3 linked regions of the Arabidopsis thaliana genome follow. The protein of the gene in region 2 interacts with the protein of the main gene of each other region in a pairwise test. Each region holds a gene or a part of one and is shown on either strand. Other genes may lie near its edges.

What was found.
Region 1: the proteins of AT2G41820 (region 2) and ARFA1D interact in a protein complementation assay, tested with the Arabidopsis thaliana proteins (one large-scale study listed by BioGRID).
Region 3: the proteins of AT2G41820 (region 2) and AT3G06170 interact in a protein complementation assay, tested with the Arabidopsis thaliana proteins (one large-scale study listed by BioGRID).

The regions. Positions count from the first base shown.
Region 1 is NC_003070.9:26,562,470-26,568,542, forward strand, and holds ARFA1D (Ras-related small GTP-binding family protein), read right to left. Parts: upstream 3,343-6,073; 5' UTR 3,217-3,342; exon of another isoform or gene 2,693-3,216; 5' UTR 2,684-2,692; coding exon 2,536-2,683; intron 2,442-2,535; coding exon 2,371-2,441; intron 2,291-2,370; coding exon 2,171-2,290; intron 2,084-2,170; coding exon 1,965-2,083; intron 1,888-1,964; coding exon 1,806-1,887; intron 1,699-1,805; coding exon 1,693-1,698; 3' UTR 1,249-1,692; downstream 1-1,248. Other genes in the region: AT1G70480 (OBP32pep, putative (DUF220)), read left to right, coding at 50-208, 298-420, 498-641, 720-1,139; AT1G70500 (Pectin lyase-like superfamily protein), read right to left, coding at 4,110-4,427, 4,511-4,627, 4,710-4,818, 4,895-4,976, 5,075-5,282, 5,374-5,394, 5,485-5,655, 5,761-5,889 and 1 more. UniProt on the Arabidopsis thaliana protein: GTP-binding protein involved in protein trafficking; may modulate vesicle budding and uncoating within the Golgi apparatus.
Region 2 is NC_003071.7:17,444,627-17,451,929, forward strand, and holds AT2G41820 (Leucine-rich repeat protein kinase family protein), read left to right. Parts: upstream 1-2,117; 5' UTR 2,118-2,543; coding exon 2,544-4,887; intron 4,888-4,959; coding exon 4,960-5,288; 3' UTR 5,289-5,482; downstream 5,483-7,303. Other genes in the region: AT2G41830 (Uncharacterized protein), read right to left, coding at 5,805-5,969, 6,071-6,310, 6,409-6,519, 6,607-6,744, 6,861-7,055, 7,230-7,303. UniProt on the Arabidopsis thaliana protein: Leucine-rich repeat receptor-like protein kinase that may play a role in vascular tissues development.
Region 3 is NC_003074.8:1,864,737-1,871,561, forward strand, and holds AT3G06170 (Serinc-domain containing serine and sphingolipid biosynthesis protein), read left to right. Parts: upstream 1-2,678; 5' UTR 2,679-2,783; coding exon 2,784-2,961; intron 2,962-3,408; coding exon 3,409-3,645; intron 3,646-3,944; coding exon 3,945-4,056; intron 4,057-4,179; coding exon 4,180-4,592; intron 4,593-4,712; coding exon 4,713-5,002; 3' UTR 5,003-5,227; downstream 5,228-6,825. Other genes in the region: AT3G06160 (AP2/B3-like transcriptional factor family protein), read left to right, coding at 635-695, 768-838, 929-1,011, 1,401-1,923, 2,002-2,096, 2,196-2,456.

The sequences.
Region 1 (6,073 bases), on a different chromosome or scaffold from region 2:
GATCTTTAGAGGAGCTGAAAAAGGAAGCATTTTGTTCTCTTTGTCACAGTCCCAGCTGAAGAATTTGACAGATGATAAGCATGGGATTGGTTCTTCATGGAGGCAAGATAAAGGAAACTCATCGATCTCCATGCAAATTGATCTGGAGAAACAGTTAGATTGTTGGAGGGAAAACCCTTCGTGGACTGATCAGATCCCAGTCGTTAAGGTGAGCAAGAGATGAACTTTACAACATGGTTTTGTCAGAGTCTTTGAGAATCTTGTTATATGATAAATAATAACAAGATTTCTTTACAGGTGGGTATTCCAAAAGGATCGCTTTGCAATCTTAAAGCCGAGGTGAATGTTGGTTTACCTCCTGATGCAGTCTATAACATTGTAATTGACCCTGACAATAGAAGAGTCTTCAAGAATATCAAGGTACGTTTCTTATAGATTATCTTGTTCTCTCTGTTACAGTTTTAAGCTCCTGTGATTCATTGGCCTCGGAATTACAGGAGGTTATGTCGCGGAAAGTATTGGTAGATGACGGGTTAAGGCAAGTGGTGGAAGTTGAACAAGCAGCTTTGTGGAGATTTCTCTGGTGGTCAGGAACAATCTCAGTTCATGTCTTGGTGGATCAGGATCGGGCAGATCACTCTGTAAGACCTCTACGATTATAACAAAAGTCTCAAGTTTCTTGAATGGTTCGTGAAAGGGGATTTAAATGGGTGTTGCAGATGAAATTCAAGCAAGTGAAAAGTGGATTCATGAAGAGATTCGAAGGAAGCTGGCAAGTAAAGCCTTTGTTTGTGGATGAACATATGTGCGATCGTTTGAAACCGAAAACGCTGGAGGAGTATAACAGGTGCACTGGAGGTAAAGGGAGGATCGGATCTAAGGTAACGCTGGACCAGCTAATACAGCCAGCGATTGTTCCACCTCCGCCCATTTCTTGGTATCTCAGAGGAATCACGGCTAAGACGACAGAGATGCTTATCCATGACTTGTTGGCTGAGACCGCCAGGATCCGTGCAGCTGGAGTAATGGAGGATGGTCACTCGCCCGATGAGCAACGGATTGGCACACCTGGAGATATAAAAGAAAGATGGTCTGCACATAGAAGAACATCAAGGAGACGACGCAATGATTTGTGTTAAGTCACAGACTCACACAGTCCATGATTCTGGGATAATAGATATCTTGAGGATTTTTGGATCACCCAGCAATATGTGAACATAATATAATATTTGTTTTCATAAGATACACTGGCATATAAATGTGGGAATCTATTCCTTGTTGAAGAAGTTTACAACCATGACTCAATGACTCATGACCATTACAACCATGACTCAATGACCAATAGTGATATGAATTTTCAAATATACAAAATTTCTAATTCATTTATTTTGGTAAAGAAAGAAAGATATTTCTGTGATGAAAACGATGCAGACGTGAAAATAGGATACGCAAAAACAAGAAAGCAAAACAATCAATCATATTAATCCAGGCACAATACACGAAAGCTATTTAAAAGGGTTCTTCTAGTAAATTTTTAGGTACAAGACCATCTACTTGCACAATAAGAAACATTCACATACCCAAAAAAGCAAAAAGGTTCAGATAATATTTATAATCTCTCTTGCATCAAGACAGAGAGAGATCCCAACACAGCAGACAGAATCATCTCGATGCAACGCAATTTCTCCCTCATCATGCCTGTGCAAGAAGAGCAACACGAGGTAAAGATATAAGCATCGCAGAATAAAAAGAAACCAGCTCGTTAGATTTGTGTGTTTTTGAAGAAACTTATGTAGTTATGTTACCTTGCCAGCGATGTTGTTGGAGAGCCAGTCCAGACCTTCATAAAGCCCTTCACCTGAAGTGGCACATGTGCTCTGGATATACCTGTAGCGAGCAAAAACACACATCAGTATCGAACAGAAATTGTTTGACTTTTGAAACTTATAAGGATGTTTATTTACCAATGACGCTGACGGAGGGAGTGAAGGCCAAGCTTATCTGTGATTTCAGCAGCGTTCATAGCATTTGGAAGATCTTGCTTGTTGGCAAACACAAGCAACACAGCATCACGCAGCTCGTCCTGCAATAAAAGAGTTGGTAAGTAAAGGATTTTCAAACTAACAAAACTATGAAGAAGAACTCTTTCTCTATAGCACTGGATATTTACCTCATTCAGCATCCTGTGGAGTTCATCTCGAGCCTCAACAACTCTGTCTCTGTCATTGCTATCAACAACAAAGATTAGACCTTGAGTGTTCTGGAAGTAGTGTCTCCACAAGGGACGGATCTGAAAAAGAAGCCAAAAAGTCAGTTTATTTGGGTGAAAAGTTCCTTCATCAAACAATAAGCAGTACAGAGACTCCATACCTTGTCCTGACCCCCGACATCCCACACGGTGAAACTAATGTTCTTGTATTCCACAGTTTCCACATTGAAACCTGTTGATAGAATTTAGCATATCACTAATCGATCCTAGATTTTATACCATCATCACAATTTAAAAACCAGTACTAAGGTGTGAAGCTTCTTTACCAATAGTAGGGATGGTGGTGACAATCTCTCCGAGCTTGAGCTTGTACAAGATTGTGGTCTTACCAGCAGCATCAAGACCAACCATCAGAATTCGCATCTCCTTCTTGGCAAAAAGCCTGCTAAACAGCTTGGCGAAACTCAACCCCATTTTGCTTCACTGCAAACAAACACAACAAAGTCTAATATCAAAAACCTCATACACATTCTATATCACGCGATTTTCATCTCAGAAATCCTAAATTATGCATCTATAATGCCAAATTCAATTCTTATATCCTCTAAGAACCTGATCAATACCAAAATCGTCACTCACAAACATCAAATTTCAACGAGATCAGGCCGATCCAAACAGAGAATCAAACGTCCCGAGATATCATAATCTCTCTGATACAGATCTTCAACATCTCAGAAGCTATCAGATACAATCACAACGACGGAAAACGAAAGTGAATAGAAAATTCAACAGATCCACACTATCAGATCGTAATCAGAAACGTCGACATATATACACATCTTAAAAATAAAATCGCATTATCCATTCATGAGCAAGATCAACCTCAACGAAATCAATCACGACGATTCCAAAACCATCAAAATTCACAAGAAACGAGAAATGCAGAACACATACAGATCTACGCTAAATTGAGAATGTATGAGCACAGATCTTAGATCAAAGCGTACCTACGAAGAATGTTTCGGAGAGATCTGAGAGAGAGAGACCGCGAAGAAACGGAGAGAGCGAGAGAGACTCGAAGAAATTTGAAAGAGAAATGTGAGAGAAGCTTAAGAGAAACGCGATGACGCCGAAATGGGAAGTGGTGGAGAGCAATTTTATAAGGGAGAGGGGTACCGGTTTATTCGTCGTTTCTCACGCCAATTAACGAAATTGCCATTTGTAATTGACGGAATTACCCTCTTCGAATCTTCTATGACCAAGTGTGCAGGTGTTCGCGAGCTAACCAATTAAAACTTAACACGTGAGCAATACTCTTTTCTTAAGTGCTACTTCATCTCCAGTGAAAATTTCGTTATTTGTTGATGTTGTCTGACCAATAAGAAATCGTCATTTCAATCAATTTTGATAAATTTTATAATTATTAAAATAATTTTAATATATATAATATGATTACATATCTACATCTATTAATGATATTTTTAATGAAATTTTGTTTGTCTGGTTTGGTTAACTTTGGGAAACGTTAGCCACAAAATCATTTAAAAGATTTATTTTCAAAATGATAAAATTAATCAATTGAGAGACAATTCCGGTTTAGTATTAGCTTAAAAATTTAAACATTTGGGTCTGGTTTTGCTGCCAACCCTTAACGATCATAACAAAACATAGAGAGATGAGCAAATGCTACAAACTACCAAATAAGCATTCATTTTTTATACAAAAATATTAATCTTTACCTTAATTATAATCAATTTATAAACACTACAATGCTTTTCAATCTCATTGTATATGCTTCATTAACAAGCTATATATATAAGGTCAGTTGCTAAAGATGAATTACAACTAAATATAACGTGCACATTCCTCACTACAACGACCGTCAAAATATGTGATCACCTTAAAGCTCATCATGAGCATTTTCAGTTTCTTTTTCGACCATAATAGTTTCTGCCAAATACTGATCAGTTTGGTTTAAGCTCTTGTCGTCATGCGAATACAGACAATCCGCAGAAGGATGAACTACACCATAACCAAACCCTTCAGCAGAGTTACAATATGCTTCTACTTTTCCATCATTGCCTTCCAAGTTGATATTGTTGAGGACAATGTGGCTGCAAGGGACTGCGTCACTACACTTGAAGTTGATGGCTTTTGAGCTTTTCGTGGTTCCGGTTATGTTCCTGTACATTATCTCGGATATGTGAACCGCCGATGTCTGCAAAGAAATAGGAATCAAAAGATTAAGTTTCTTTCTTGAGGTTTGTTGATAAGTCAATGGTTATGTGAAAGAATTAAAACCTGGTTTTGACAAGTTGATGGTGAATCACAGTAGAATTGATCGATTATAATCGGATTCGCAACGTCCTGCATCACTACGTTCTCGAAACGTACACCCTTTACGTAACCATTACCACCCTGTTTTAAAGAGTTTCATCTTTCAATCAATCCTGAAAACTCTTTGGAAGGAAAGCAAAGATCAATAGAATTGAGATTTTACCTGCCATGTCTTGATTCTTAGACCATTAGTTGTGTTCTTTAAGAACGCAGTTTCCAACACAACTGCAGTGACGGTTCCTTTCGAATGTCCTTGTCCAAGACTTCCAATACTACAGAACAAGAAATTATTTGCAATCAATAATAATATATGTGTCTCATTTCTTTTTATGGTTAGAGATGGTTTACCTGATTCCATGTCCTGGTCCACAGTAGATCCTCTTCATCTTTATCTTGGCGCTTCCATTCACAATCGAGACACAATCATCTCCTGTTTTCAAGTTGAAGTGTCAGCTATAACATTTTGAGTTTAATATTATAATTACCATGATAGTGTTTTGAGTTAAATAGAAGTTTTTGGTGAAGAACCTGTGCTGATTTTACTGTCTTGGACTACAACATCGGTAGATGCGGTTATATGAATTCCATCAGTGTTGGGACTGTCTCCTGGAGATGTGACCATAACTCTAGAGATTCGAACTGTAGTTGACCGTTGTATGATCAAGTGCATCTGTTGGCTGTTCCGGATAGTTAAGCCTCTCACATACACATTTGAACTTGAATATATAGTTAGAGCCTGTATAAAAGTAAAGACTTTCTTATAAGCAAAATCAAACATAAATGATAAGTCTAATGGTCGATGAACACAAAAGGGAAAAAACTTAGACCGTTGGTGCGCCTACGCAAGGCTACAAAAGAAAAACAAGAAAGATATGTGTCAGATTTCTACTTCATGATTGATTAGAAGAAAGTCCACTTTATGTAAAGAAGATACTTACGTTAGACTTGTTCTTCTTGCAAGAAGCAGCCCACCATTTGGTACCAGAACCATCTATAACTCCATTCCCTTGGAATACAACTCCTTGGAGTTTGGAAAATTGAAGCCAATTCCTTGGGAATTTCGGGTCCCATTGGCTAGGCTCATCTGGTGCTATGATTGTTCCATCAATCTATCAAAATCAAAATTAAAAAAAAATAAAAATGCATAAGACAATAAATGGTAACATGTTGTTGTAGCTTAACGTGTAACAGGAATTAAGAAGTTAAAAGATTACCTGAATGATCAATTTTTCTTGACATGGACCATCGAATTTCGTCGCATTTACTAAATAGCTACGTCCTTGTGGAACCAATAAAACAGAGTTTGGTGCAGAGCAGGCCATGGTCCAAGCTCTTATAAATGCCTGGTTATAAGAGAAACTTTTCACTAGTTGATAATTAAAATATATATATATGGTGGTTTTGTGTGTCTATTCCACCAGCATTATCATGAATTTCTTAAACCGATTCGAGCATAACGCACCTGAGTATCATCAGAAACTCCATCTCCAGATGCATTAAAGCTATCCACATTCACCAGATTCTTAC
Region 2 (7,303 bases):
TTCATTGTAATCATTGGTTAACATTTTCTCTAACAATGTTAATTATTGAAAATTTAAAACAATTAACTACACTTCTTATCTCCCCTTCTTCACGAGTTTAAAGCGACGAGGTGCTTCCATCATTATGTCTTCTCTTTTTCTTGTTGCTCTTCTTATGATTCGTCTTTAACTCATTCGCCTATTTGTGAAAAAAATAGATTGCTTGAAAAGCATAAAACTAATCAACTGAAAAAATGTATATGCATAATTAAAAATCAATTCATAGAAAAATTCAGTCGTACTTTCGTCAATTCATGGATTTATTTTTTGTTGTAGCTAAAACTTCAGTTGTACTACCAAAACAAGAAGAAGTTCAACGTCTTGTTGATAGTATCATGAGTTGTGAAAACTCACGTGAAAAGAAATGTAACTATGTAATAAAGTTTTTTATAGTATTAATAGAATAAAACTTGCTTAATTGGTGGTGTTATTTATATATACTTAATTAGGCAATTAGGTTTCAAGAAGAGGAAAAAAACGATGGGACGGAGGTGGTGAGTGGTGGTGGTCGGAGCAGACAAAGAAGGGTCCTACAATTTGCCTAACCGTAAAGAGCCACATTCCTTTTTCTTTTACCCCATCCCGTGAGTGAACCCCACTCTTCCTCATTCTATTATTCTCAATCTATATTTTCAAAAATAAACATAAATATACAAACTCTTTGCAGCATAAAGGAATATGTTGATAAAACGGAGCTTTGTTTATGATTTTGTTTCATTATGATATATTTTTTTTAAAACATTTACCAACAATTTCTTAGAAACATAAATTAAGAGCTAACTAGTATATCTAGTATTTCTCGAAACCCAAACTCATGTTCTTAATTTTTTATTTTTTTCTGGAATGTTAATGACTATCGGATATTTGAGTATAATTGTATGAATTTGCTTGACTGTTGCATACTTTGAATCTTTCTTTCTAGTTTACAATTGTGCAAATTAAATCAAACTCGTTTTCAGTATTTTACCTTTTAGTACTATACTTAATTATGTCATCTGTATCAGGTAATAGTTAGAGGAAAGAGGAAAATGGTGTAATATAAACAACAATTATTTGTATGTGAGTTTACGACCATCATCTAGCTTAAAGTACACACCAATGAGAATATGAACACAGTTTAGCTCAACTCATATATGATCTATCCGACATCTTTTCAATGTTTTGGGTCGCGTAGGAGTATCGGAAGCAGCTTAAGACATAGCTATTTAATAAATTGTTGGTATGTTTTATTTATAACAATTATCACAAAATCAAAAGATACTAATCTCGCTGTTTGAGGCAGACATCTGAGAAAACATGTCTTCTACCAACATTCAAGATTTGACAAATCGTTGTTTACGTATTGTTATATTGAGCATCTTACAACAAAAATTTACGTGTATTTTGAAACTCGGAAATCAATCATATCTATTGATATTAACACACAGTGTTTCCTGACTATCGTCGCAGACGAATAATAATAGTAATAATCTTCCACCTCGTGTGATTCTATAATCTTATATTCTTGACATAAATGTCGTCAAAATTTGGTATACATCAAACATGGATCGTGTTTAAAGTAATCATCAAAAATCACCACACGAGAGTAGATTCCCTATTGTCAAATATAGATCAAAGAGAAAACATGTAGGCTACAAATATAACCTAGTCCCTACGAATAAGAAAAATGTCATTATACCACAAATGATAACTGCAAAGTGTGTGTAAATTTTGATTTTAAAAGAAGGTAAAAAAATAAAAAAGATAGATTTGGAAACAATCTTTTACCTCTTTGGTATTGAACATTGTGACAGTATCAATCAGTATGGTACAGAAAAAACGTCAGAGGAAAAGAATTATCAAAAAACGTACACTCTTCATTTTCATTAAAATCTTTTTTTTTTCTTCCAAAAAACAAAAGCAGAAAAAATGTGTCAGAAAGATTTATGCAGCTTTCATTCATTCATCACTTGCACTGTCTCGTGAAGAAAATTAAACTTTTTTGTATCAGAAATTAATTACATTAAAAGAAAAGAAAAAAAAAATTCCCTCCTTTCCAAGTGCGTTTGCTTTGTGGAGTCTCTCTCTTCTCTCTCTCTGTCTGTGTGTGAAGTGAGAGGATCTTTGTTTGGTTCTGCAATCATAATTTCGTGATATACTAAAAAAAATGCAATTTCCTCTTCTCTCTTATAAGCAGAGACCCTACTACTCTTTGATCGAATTTTCCTTGCTCTCTTCTCTTTGTTCTCTCATGTTTTTTTCTCCCTAAATTTATGGGCTTTGCTCTCTCTCTAAGCCACACTCACACTCTAAAGCACTCGTCTTTCTTCTTCTTTTTCTTCAGAAACAGTTATTTTGACTTGAAAAACCAGAGCTTTAATCCTGGATTCATGGCAAAAAGAGCATTACTTTTCTTTTCCTCTCTCACTTTCTTGTTTCATTTGGCTTAAAAATTCAATGATAATTTTGTATTTGGGGGAAAGAAGAAGAAGAACAAGAGTGTGTGATTGATTCAATTCTTAAAAATGACATTTTGGTGTATGTCAATTCTTCTGATTGTTGGGTTCTTATCAAAATCTGAGCTTTGTGAAGCTCAACTAAGCGATGAAGCCACATTGGTTGCGATTAATAGAGAGCTTGGAGTTCCAGGATGGAGTAGTAATGGCACTGACTATTGTACTTGGGTTGGGCTTAAGTGTGGTGTCAACAACTCTTTTGTTGAAATGCTTGATCTCTCAGGGCTTCAGCTTAGAGGTAATGTTACTCTAATCTCTGACCTCAGAAGCTTAAAGCATCTAGATCTTTCTGGTAACAACTTCAATGGACGAATTCCTACTTCTTTTGGCAACTTGTCTGAGCTTGAGTTTCTTGATTTGTCTCTGAATCGTTTTGTTGGAGCGATTCCGGTTGAGTTTGGTAAGCTTAGAGGGCTTAGAGCATTCAACATTTCTAATAACTTGCTTGTTGGAGAGATACCTGATGAGCTTAAGGTTCTAGAGAGGTTAGAGGAGTTTCAGGTCTCTGGAAATGGGTTAAATGGTTCTATACCTCACTGGGTAGGGAATCTGAGCAGTCTCAGGGTGTTTACAGCTTATGAGAATGATTTGGTGGGTGAGATACCGAATGGGTTAGGTTTGGTTTCTGAGTTGGAATTGTTGAATCTTCACTCAAACCAACTTGAGGGGAAGATTCCAAAAGGGATTTTTGAGAAAGGGAAGCTTAAAGTTTTGGTCTTGACACAGAATAGATTGACCGGTGAACTCCCTGAAGCAGTAGGAATCTGCAGCGGCCTCTCGAGCATTAGAATTGGGAATAACGAGCTTGTGGGAGTCATTCCGAGGACAATCGGGAACATTAGTGGACTTACTTACTTTGAAGCAGACAAGAACAATCTTTCAGGTGAGATTGTTGCAGAGTTCTCCAAGTGTTCTAATCTCACTCTGCTGAATCTGGCAGCTAATGGGTTCGCTGGAACCATTCCAACAGAGCTTGGTCAGCTCATTAATCTTCAAGAACTGATTCTCTCAGGTAATAGTCTCTTTGGGGAGATCCCTAAGTCGTTTCTTGGAAGTGGAAACCTAAACAAGCTTGATTTGAGTAACAACAGACTCAACGGAACCATCCCAAAGGAACTCTGCAGCATGCCAAGGCTACAGTATTTACTTCTTGATCAAAATTCCATAAGAGGAGACATACCTCATGAGATTGGAAACTGTGTGAAGCTACTTCAGCTCCAACTGGGTCGAAATTACTTGACGGGAACCATTCCTCCTGAGATTGGTCGCATGAGGAATTTGCAGATAGCACTCAACTTAAGTTTCAACCATCTTCATGGATCATTGCCTCCCGAGTTAGGAAAACTCGACAAGCTCGTGTCATTGGATGTCTCTAACAATTTGCTCACAGGATCCATACCGCCACTACTAAAAGGTATGATGAGTTTGATCGAGGTTAATTTCTCAAACAACCTTTTGAATGGTCCAGTGCCAGTCTTTGTTCCCTTTCAAAAGTCTCCAAATTCGAGCTTTTTGGGAAACAAAGAGCTTTGTGGAGCACCATTGAGCTCTTCTTGTGGATATTCTGAAGATCTTGACCATTTGAGATATAATCACAGAGTCTCCTACAGAATTGTGCTCGCAGTGATTGGTTCTGGTGTAGCTGTCTTTGTATCAGTCACTGTGGTTGTTCTTCTCTTCATGATGAGGGAGAAACAAGAGAAAGCAGCGGCTAAAAATGTTGATGTTGAAGAAAATGTTGAGGATGAGCAACCAGCAATTATCGCGGGAAATGTCTTCCTTGAAAATCTTAAACAAGGAATTGATCTTGATGCAGTTGTGAAAGCAACTATGAAGGAGTCAAATAAACTCAGTACGGGAACTTTCAGTTCAGTTTATAAAGCCGTTATGCCTTCGGGGATGATTGTTTCGGTGAAGAAACTCAAGTCTATGGATAGAGCCATATCTCATCATCAGAACAAGATGATCAGAGAACTCGAAAGACTCAGCAAACTTTGCCATGACCATTTGGTTAGACCGATAGGGTTTGTTATATACGAAGACGTTGCTCTCTTGTTGCATCAGCATTTACCTAATGGTAACTTAACTCAGCTGATTCATGAGTCCACCAAGAAACCAGAGTACCAACCTGACTGGCCAATGAGACTGTCCATAGCTGTTGGAGCAGCAGAAGGTTTAGCATTTCTCCACCAAGTCGCCATCATTCACCTCGACGTTTCCTCTAGCAACGTCTTGCTAGACTCTGGTTACAAAGCCGTGCTTGGGGAAATCGAAATATCGAAACTTCTAGATCCCTCTAGAGGCACCGCGAGTATTAGCTCAGTTGCAGGCTCTTTTGGCTACATTCCACCAGGTATAAAGTCTTAATTTTGTTACCAGTAACTTTATACAAAATCCAACACTTTCCCTTGGTTTATTTCTGCAGAGTATGCATACACAATGCAAGTTACAGCTCCGGGGAATGTTTACAGTTATGGAGTTGTGTTGCTTGAGATTCTAACCTCAAGAGCGCCGGTGGAGGAAGAGTTTGGTGAAGGAGTAGATTTGGTGAAATGGGTCCATGGAGCTTCAGCGAGAGGAGAAACACCGGAACAGATACTCGATGCCAAGCTTAGCACCGTGTCTTTTGCTTGGAGGAGAGAGATGCTTGCAGCTCTGAAAGTTGCATTGCTTTGCACAGACATCACACCTGCAAAAAGGCCAAAGATGAAGAAAGTAGTTGAAATGCTTCAAGAGGTTAAGCAAATCAAATGAGCAAATGAATATATAGTTTCCTCTTGTGACATTCATATACAAAAGAAAACGCATTCCTATATATGCGAGCTTCTCCTCTGTGTATTATATAGGTTTTTATGATAAAATTGATCCGCTTATGGTTGATTTACTTATCCAATGACACAAATTATAAATTAGATCATAGAAGAACCAATGTACATCTTGAGGGAAACTGTTCAACAAAGCATCTGTTGTAGAATCTTAAGATTACAATACCATGTGAAAACCAGATGGCCTCTTTCAATTTTTTACACATCACACCAAAAAGAAACAAGAATTGGACAAAAGAATAAGTGAAAAGAGAAGATAGGAGTAAAAACCTAGGAGGAATGATCTAATTATAGCACGACGGAGATAATTCCGATTTATGATGCTAAAGAATCTATAAAAACGTAACCCAAGACTTTGAAAACCAAGCAAACCTATTTTTGTTATGTTTTGTTTGAGTTCTTGACTGGAATTCAAAGCCAAACATGGTTTGGATCCTGCCGATGATCAACAGCCAGCAGCTTTAAGGAAGTTGTCGTAAGGGCTTGAGGCTGGTAGTCTAAATGCTTGTGGGTTATTTTGTAGTTCTGCATAGCACGGTGACTGAATAGTTCCCACTGGTGTTCTTGGCGATTTCATGTCGAATTCTTTCGACAGTAAAGGGACTTCGACCTAAACAAATTTCAGTAATCAATACAAAAATGGTTAAACAGTTATCTTGGAATATGAAACCGGAGGCTATCCACAGGAATTCATAGCGAAGGCATACATACCCCAGTATGAAATGCTGAATTGATCATAGGATGAAAAGATGCAATCTTGATCTCTTCATCATGTTGTCGTGGAGAGCAGTTAACAGAACTCTCATGTCGTAGCTGAGAATTTAAAAGACTCGAGATCTTCTGCTGTTTTCCCATTAACAGATTCTCACAATGCAGCGTCATCTCTTTGTATGAAGCATCGGCTGCAGTATGGAAGGAAATTCTACCCACTTGACGTGTTGTCTCTACGACCTTCAAACAATACAAAATAAGTATAGTTTATAGTGTGCTGTTACTTTTGATGAAGACTTTGTAATCTAGTTTCTAGGAAGCTGAAAAATGTAACTTACAGATTCTAGAATTTGATTGACGGTCAGGAGGTCTGGGATTTCAGAAAATGTTACATGATTGTTCTTTGTAACGGTTTCGGTGCCATCTCCAAACTCTTGATCCTCCGCGTCCTGAAGACACAGATGCAACATATTTCAATCTTATGTTCAGCTCGAGGTTTTCAGAGAATATTATGGGAAGCAAAAGAAGGAAGTTACCTCCTTTCGAGGTTTAACATCACCAGAATCAATCTGATAGGTTTTGTGGGTATCTTCTAAAAACCGGGTACCAAGTGGACATGCATCATCTGGCATAAATTCTGTGAGCAACTGCTCTCGCATTTTGTCCATTTCAGACTGGAAACAGTTTAACTTTTGTTAGTCTACTGTGTCTATCAATTGATTTATCAAAATATGAATGGTAAGCTCGGGTAGAGTAATTTAGTTGGGAGGTTGTGACTGGGAACACTTACATTGCACATATCTTCTAAGCTCTTGACGATTTCATAGACAAGGGTTCCTCTGCTATGCTCAGTGGACAGTGCTATGTTTGAAAGAGTATCTAAAGCTGAAGCATCATCTTTTTCGCATCCATAAGCAACTTTTAGCTGATCTGAATTTACAGCCTTCAACTTGTGATCGTCAACCAAGTTCAAGAATGGGTCAAGCTGAATCAGGCAAAAGAAGAAGTTAATGAAAAATGGTAAGTAAATTTCTCTCTGTGTATAGAGGCTATCATAGGAATATTGAACATAGAAGTCTGGGGCGACTGTCAAGAGCACGATAATAGTCTTTTTTGGCAAATTGAGTTGCGTGATATTTTACTAGAATGATCAACGTACCCTTGGTCCCTGAAGTGTTACTTTTGTAAAATCCGCCAGAGAAAAAAGATTGAATGCTTTTGAGGAAAAAAGAA
Region 3 (6,825 bases), on a different chromosome or scaffold from region 2:
ACCACTTTAGCTTAATCAAAGTGTCCATTCACATTATTCACAAAAATAGTTCATCTATTTTATTAATCTTCTTACTTTGATTCAAGAATTCCTTTTTTTTTTGTTGTTGCTCAAGATAGAATTTAGCTTATACATAAAAATGATACTTTTTCGCAGTTTTAAAATTCTCTAAGAAACCAAACTGATAAAATTTAAAGCGCAAGAGAATATTAAAGTAAGAAAAAGAGTAAATTATTACAGAATCTCCTCACTAAACGAGCTTATACGTTAATGGCTCTAATCTTGAATATGTTGTTGTTGGCCGTTGAGGCTGTGTTTAATCATGTGACTTTTAACTCCAAAGCTACCAAAAGTCTTCGGCCCAAGAGAAAAGAGCTACATGAGTACATTCTACATTCTTCAGCCAATAATGAGACTCCCTACTATCTTAATTATTGGGCCGAATATGGGCCTACATTAACTATTTAATGGGCTTGATAGTATTGTTAGCATCTAGCTTTTTATGATTTTGTTTCAGTGAGGAGAAAAACGCTTTCTCAATTATGAACTCTGCATCTTTGTCACTGATTCTTCTCACCTGATCTGTTGCAGATATTTGGTCAAAGAGTTTATTAAAAGATAACATAATATAAAGTGAAAAAGCAATGCTGCTTTCTCTCATTGGTTGTGCATAGAGCAAGGACAGAGAAAAACAGGTTCGTACGTAAGAAACACACATTAACTGTGTTCTGCTTCCTTTGTATTCTCTCACTTTTCTCTTTTTTCAGAATTCAATCTCTGGAAATTTTCTTCCTAAAGATTAAAGAGAACCGTTTGGACCAGATCAGCTTGCCTCTTGGTAATGGTCTCTCTTCTCTTTGTTCCCAATTTCTGTAGCTTTCTTCTTTCTCCCTAACTCGTCTGCTCTCTTTGTCTCTTCCTCTCACAGTTCATACGTCTTCCATGGCTTCCGGTGATGTTCTTCCTAGATTCTTCACTGTCTTCCTCTCCCATTGCAGCTCCGAATCCATGGTGAGATTTTTCTCTGGAATATTTCATGGAAAAAGCTGCTTGGGTTGATATGTTTCTTGGATACAGTAACGATGTGAATGAGATCTGCAACATTATCTTAATTCTTAACTCTATATGTTTAAATCTCTTGACACTGACAAAAGTTTTAACTTTCTTCACTAATGAGCTCAGGATTATCTCTGTTTGTGTTACTTATGTTTGAATATGATAGAGTATGTCAAACTAAACACTGAATTTCCTCAAAGAGTTTTCTCCTTTGTTGAAAAAATTGAACAAGAGGTCTTGGTCTTGTTGTTTGTCTGTTTACCTCCGCTTGCAGACAGAGTCTTTAGCTTATATTTTGCTCACTTTTAACAGTTTAGTTTATGCTACATCTTTGTGTTGAGCAGGTGATACCAAGGTCTTACTACAATCTTTTACCACGTCCGTTGCCCAAGACTGCGATTCTCATCGGAACTGGTGGAAGATTTTGGAAAGTAGCAATGACGAGCAAGCAAGAGCAAGTGTATTTTGAACAAGGCTGGGGAAATTTCGTTGCTGATAACCAGTTAAAAGAGGGAGAATTCTTAACTTTTGTGTTTGATGGGCACAAAAGTTATGAAGTAAGTATCTATGGTCGTGGAGATTGCAAAGAGACTCGAGCAGTCATTCAAGTTGAAGAGATCTCTGATGATACAGAAGATGACAACGTTTCTCTTCATAGCCCTAGCAATGTTTCACTTGATAGCCTTAGCAACGATTCTCATCATAGCACTAGCAACGTTTCTCTTCGAAGCCTTAGCAACGATTCTCTTCATGGTGATGCTGAGATAGAGAGCGACAGTGAGTATTCTCCCGAGAACCTACCCTCAGCCTCTATATCTGTTGAATCCGTTGAGGTGGTGAATCCAACAACAAGCAGGCAGAGAAGTTGTAAGTAAACATTGTTCTTTTAACTGATGCTTATAACCGAAGCTGTTTAGAATTTGATCTCAAATGGGAATTTTGCAGACAAGAGGAAGACCATTGAGAATCCACATCTGTATTTGGATGATCCAAACAATGTCTGTTTTGAGACGTGTCTTAAGCTTAGAAAGTTTGAGCTGGTAAGACTTCATTAGATATTATTATCTCGTCTCATTAAAAATCCTTTCACGAGTTGATGATTATTTTTCTAACTAAAGCTCTATATACATTATGCACAGTTAGTTCATGCACAGTTGGTGAAAGACTACGGCTTGATATTCAGCGACAATGTTGACTATATTGACGGATATGGAAAACTAACCGCGAAAACGACCAAGTGGGCAGATCAACGGGTTTGCATAAACAAATGGCAGAAAATATGCGAGAGAAACCAGTTCACAGAGAATGACTCCATCCTATGTGAAATTCTCCGCAACGAGGACAAAGTGGTTTATGCAATCAAGATTCACATCTTCCGCGATGCAGCAGCAAGCACTTGATTCTCTGATGCAGTTCTGCAATTGTGTTTCTTCTCTTTCGAGTCTAGTCTTTTGTAGTAAACTATTAGAATGTCTAATTTCAAAACATGTTTAAGACTTTTGAGTTCTCTTGTAGACTTTGAAGTAAACACAATGAGGAGCAGGCTTAAGCTTACCCGTTAATCACTCTGTTTCTCTTACAAGTTACAATCATGTAAAATGGGTTAGAATGATCGTTTTAATATGTTAGGTACAGATTTCGTAATTTCTCGAAAATGTGATATCTCTTCTTCACAACAGAAGAACAGATTATTGTGAAAGTCAAAACAAAAAAAAATCTCTGAAACAATGGCGTGTTGCTTAGCTTCGTGCTGTGCGTCGGCGACTTGTGGATTATGCTCGTCGGTAGCATCGGGGATATCGAGGAAATCAGCGAGGATCGCTTATTGTGGTCTCTTCGGTGCCTCTCTTGTCGTCTCCTGGATTCTTCGTGAGACTGGTGCTCCGCTCCTCGAGAAACTCCCTTGTACGATTCTCTCATCCTTTTCTGAACTGGGTTTGTGAAAAAGGAGGTTCCTTTTAGCCGAGATTGATGATTGGAATTGAAAGAGACCATCAAATTTCGAAATTGGGTTTTCTTTGATCTTGTCAATTGGAATTGAATCCGGTGGTTAACGATAGATTTGGGTGATGTCTTGTGCTTGAATCTTACTAAGCGTTTAAGTATGAATCTTAATTTGTATTGGTTCAGTGGAAATTTGGTTGCTTTGTAGCTGCAACAGATTGATAATTGTGTACTAGAACTTTAGAAATCTCAATCTGTGTTGATTTGGATGTTTTTCAACTTTCAATTGCGTTTGTTTATGCTTTGTGTTAACCTGCTTGATCTAAGAGAGAATTTTGAGTGTTGCAAAAGGAAACTTCATCGCCTATTGATACAAATCTCCGGTTTTGGATGTTGTTTGACAAACAGGGATCAATACTTCTGATTCATATACCAAAGAATGGTATCAGCAACAAGCTGTTCTTCGTGTGAGCTTTGGGAATTTCCTCTTCTTTGCAATATATGCTTTGATCATGATTGGTGTCAAGGACCAGAATGACAGGCGTGACTCGTGGCACCATGGTGGGTGGGGTTTGAAGATGATTGTCTGGTTTTTGCTTGTTGTCCTCATGTTTTTTGTTCCAAATGTTATCGTCTCGTTATATGGTAAGTTTTTTTTGCTCCTCATAGTTTCCAACATAAAGTGCTACCATATCACGTTATGTTTATGTTATTGGAAATTCACTGGTTTGCAAAATTCCATTGCTGTTATTTTATCAAGTATTAGTTGATGATCTTAAATCGGGCTGGTTGGCAATTTGTGTGATTATATATTATACTTTGGTGTAGCTGCAAGTATGACAAGGAAATTTGAATATCTGCTAAAAGACTGAGACTTTAAAGTTGTGGATTTTAATATTAAACCATATATGCGGGCTAATCTTAGTGCTTGCACATTGTTCTAGGAACGTTGTCAAAATTTGGTGCTGGAGCGTTTCTGTTGGTTCAAGTGGTCTTATTATTAGATGCTACACATAACTGGAATGATTCATGGGTCGAAAAGGACGAAAAGAAATGGTATCATCAGCATCTCTTCTATACATTTGTCCTGTGTTTGTTCCAATATTCTGTTTTGGGCCTTTTTTTTTTGTTGAAGTTTGATAAATTATAATTTTCTGACTAATGGGATTCTTTGTGCAGGTACATCGCTCTGCTTGTCATATCAATCGTGTGTTACATTGCTACATATACCTTCTCAGGAATCCTGTTCATCTGGTTCAACCCATCTGGTCAGGATTGTGGACTTAATGTTTTCTTCATTGTCATGCCGATGATCTTGGCTTTTGTTTTTGCGATTATTGCTTTACATCCTGCGGTGAATGGCAGTCTTTTACCGGCATCAGTTATATCGGTTTACTGTGCTTATGTCTGTTACACGGGCCTCTCTAGCGAACCACATGACTATGTGTGCAATGGCCTTAACAAATCCAAGGCAGTGAACGCAAGTACTCTCATCCTTGGAATGCTCACTACGGTTCTCTCGGTTCTATACTCCGCCCTCCGAGCTGGCTCTTCCACCACATTCCTCTCGCCACCGTCTTCACCCAGATCAGGTACCTGAGCCAACCTCTTCAACACGCCTGGGCATTGGTTTTTTCGGTTTTGTGAATAATAATTCTGAACCAGACTCGGATTTCTGTTTCTTCTTTTTTACTGGAAACGTTTTTTTTCAGGTGTGAAGGATGCATTGTTAGGGGACCCTGAGGACGGGAAGAAGAGTGGTGAAGCCGAGGCACGGCCTGTGAGTTACTCATACTCCTTCTTCCATATCATCTTTGCGCTTGCGAGCATGTACGCTGCAATGCTTCTCTCGGGATGGACTGACTCATCAGAGAGTGCGACTCTGATCGATGTGGGATGGACCTCGGTCTGGGTCAAGATATGCACGGGTTGGGTCACGGCCGGACTCTACATATGGACACTCATTGCACCACTCATCCTTCCAGATCGCGAGTTCTACTAAACAGAGGGTAACATGTATATAGTCCGGTCCGTTGAATGTTATGTATATGTTTATGTAGTCACTTATAGTGGGTATGGTCTTGTTATAATTATGGTAGTAGTTTGTGTCGCGTTCTAGACTTGTAATTGAAGAAACCTCAACTAAAAGACCTTGGATGCTGTTTGAATGATTGTGTTGTTTTATGATAAATAGTAGGCCACTAAATTTGGACTATGGTAGAAATGCTCAACTTGAAGTCAAAGAATCATTAGAGTCAACAGGAAAATTTCAGTAAGAATCCAATCATAGTTTAAATTTGATCTAATCAATCATTAAAATAACTAAAACCACTAGACATTAAGCAGCCTTTTCCCTTTTGTTATCATTGCTATTAGAATTAGTTTTAGTTATACTATTGTTGATTCTTCCTTGGGCCTTCTCCTTGGAATAATCCTCAAGGACAAAATCTTTTATGTTAATCCGACAAACCATGTTTTTTTTCTTAATTCTTTAATTGTATGGCTTATAGCAATTATTCATATCCTTTTACTTATGACCAATGCTTTATACACACAAAAGGTTCCAATTCTAATGTACTCTTAAATTTTCCTATATCTCTCTATCGACAAATTGTACAATCATATGACAATGATTAGTATGTAAAATGTTGTTGTCCCCAGTCCCCACTATGATACGGACACAAATTTACATTGTTTAAGAAAATACTGATAACAAACCATTTAAATATCTTTAAACAACTATTTCGTATGGATAAAAAAAACGTAGAACAATTACACATATTTGACCATCTTCGCATTACCACATAAGAAGAGCGTATCAATCATCATGTGATATAGACCAACTTTATAAAGCTTATAACCTCTTTGTTTGTTTTTTGGACTGTAAAAGAAACCTCATTTGTCAGTCTTGAAAATTTGAAAGCAAGCCAATCAATAAAGACATGACATGACTTATTAAACGGCTAGTGAAACCAAAGACATATGACATACGTATGATTTGCTGAAAACTTAGATGAATATAAGTAGAAACTATCGGCATTAAAGTACACCAATAGCAAATCTGAAAATTAATTGAAATCCATTATAGTTAATTTTCGTCCGTGTGTATATAGTTATTGACTTATTGTATTCTCCATAATTTCAAGTGAGAAGATGGACGAACTCTTCTATGTAATGTTGTTAACCATGTGGAATGCTGATTAGCATCTATATTTCAGATTAAAACAACAACATCGTTTACCTCTAAGCCTCTAACATAGGACATAATTTATAACTTTAATGAAAACGATCTTCTTTGGTCTTTGGTAGACTTTAGCTACTAACTCTAGACATTTTTCTACCGTTTTATTTTTTAGTTCAGCTTCTGACCAGAACAGATTTATGATAACTCAATCATGCTATAGAAGTACTTAATTATTTTGGTCATTTGTATTTGACAGAATTCTTAGTATTATGTATTTACTCTTTCATAATGTACTCTAGATTTTAATTTTATAAAAATACTATAGAAAGAAAGTAAATCATTTTCTTATAATTAAACAAGAAGTTATCATACATAAATGTAATTAGATTTTTATATCCTAGAACAACAAAATGTTGATATAAATATACACCATAGATTGTACATAAACTTTAATATTATTCATGCACTTATTAACTATTTTCTATGGTTTCAAACAAAACTAGTCTATTTCAACAATCTCTTATCCTAGCATGCAAGATTTTTTTTAAAAAAATCAAAAATAAATATGTATAAATTTAAAATTAACTTTAAATCTAAGTGATCATTTTATTTCAGTATATTTATTTATATATTTTCAGTTA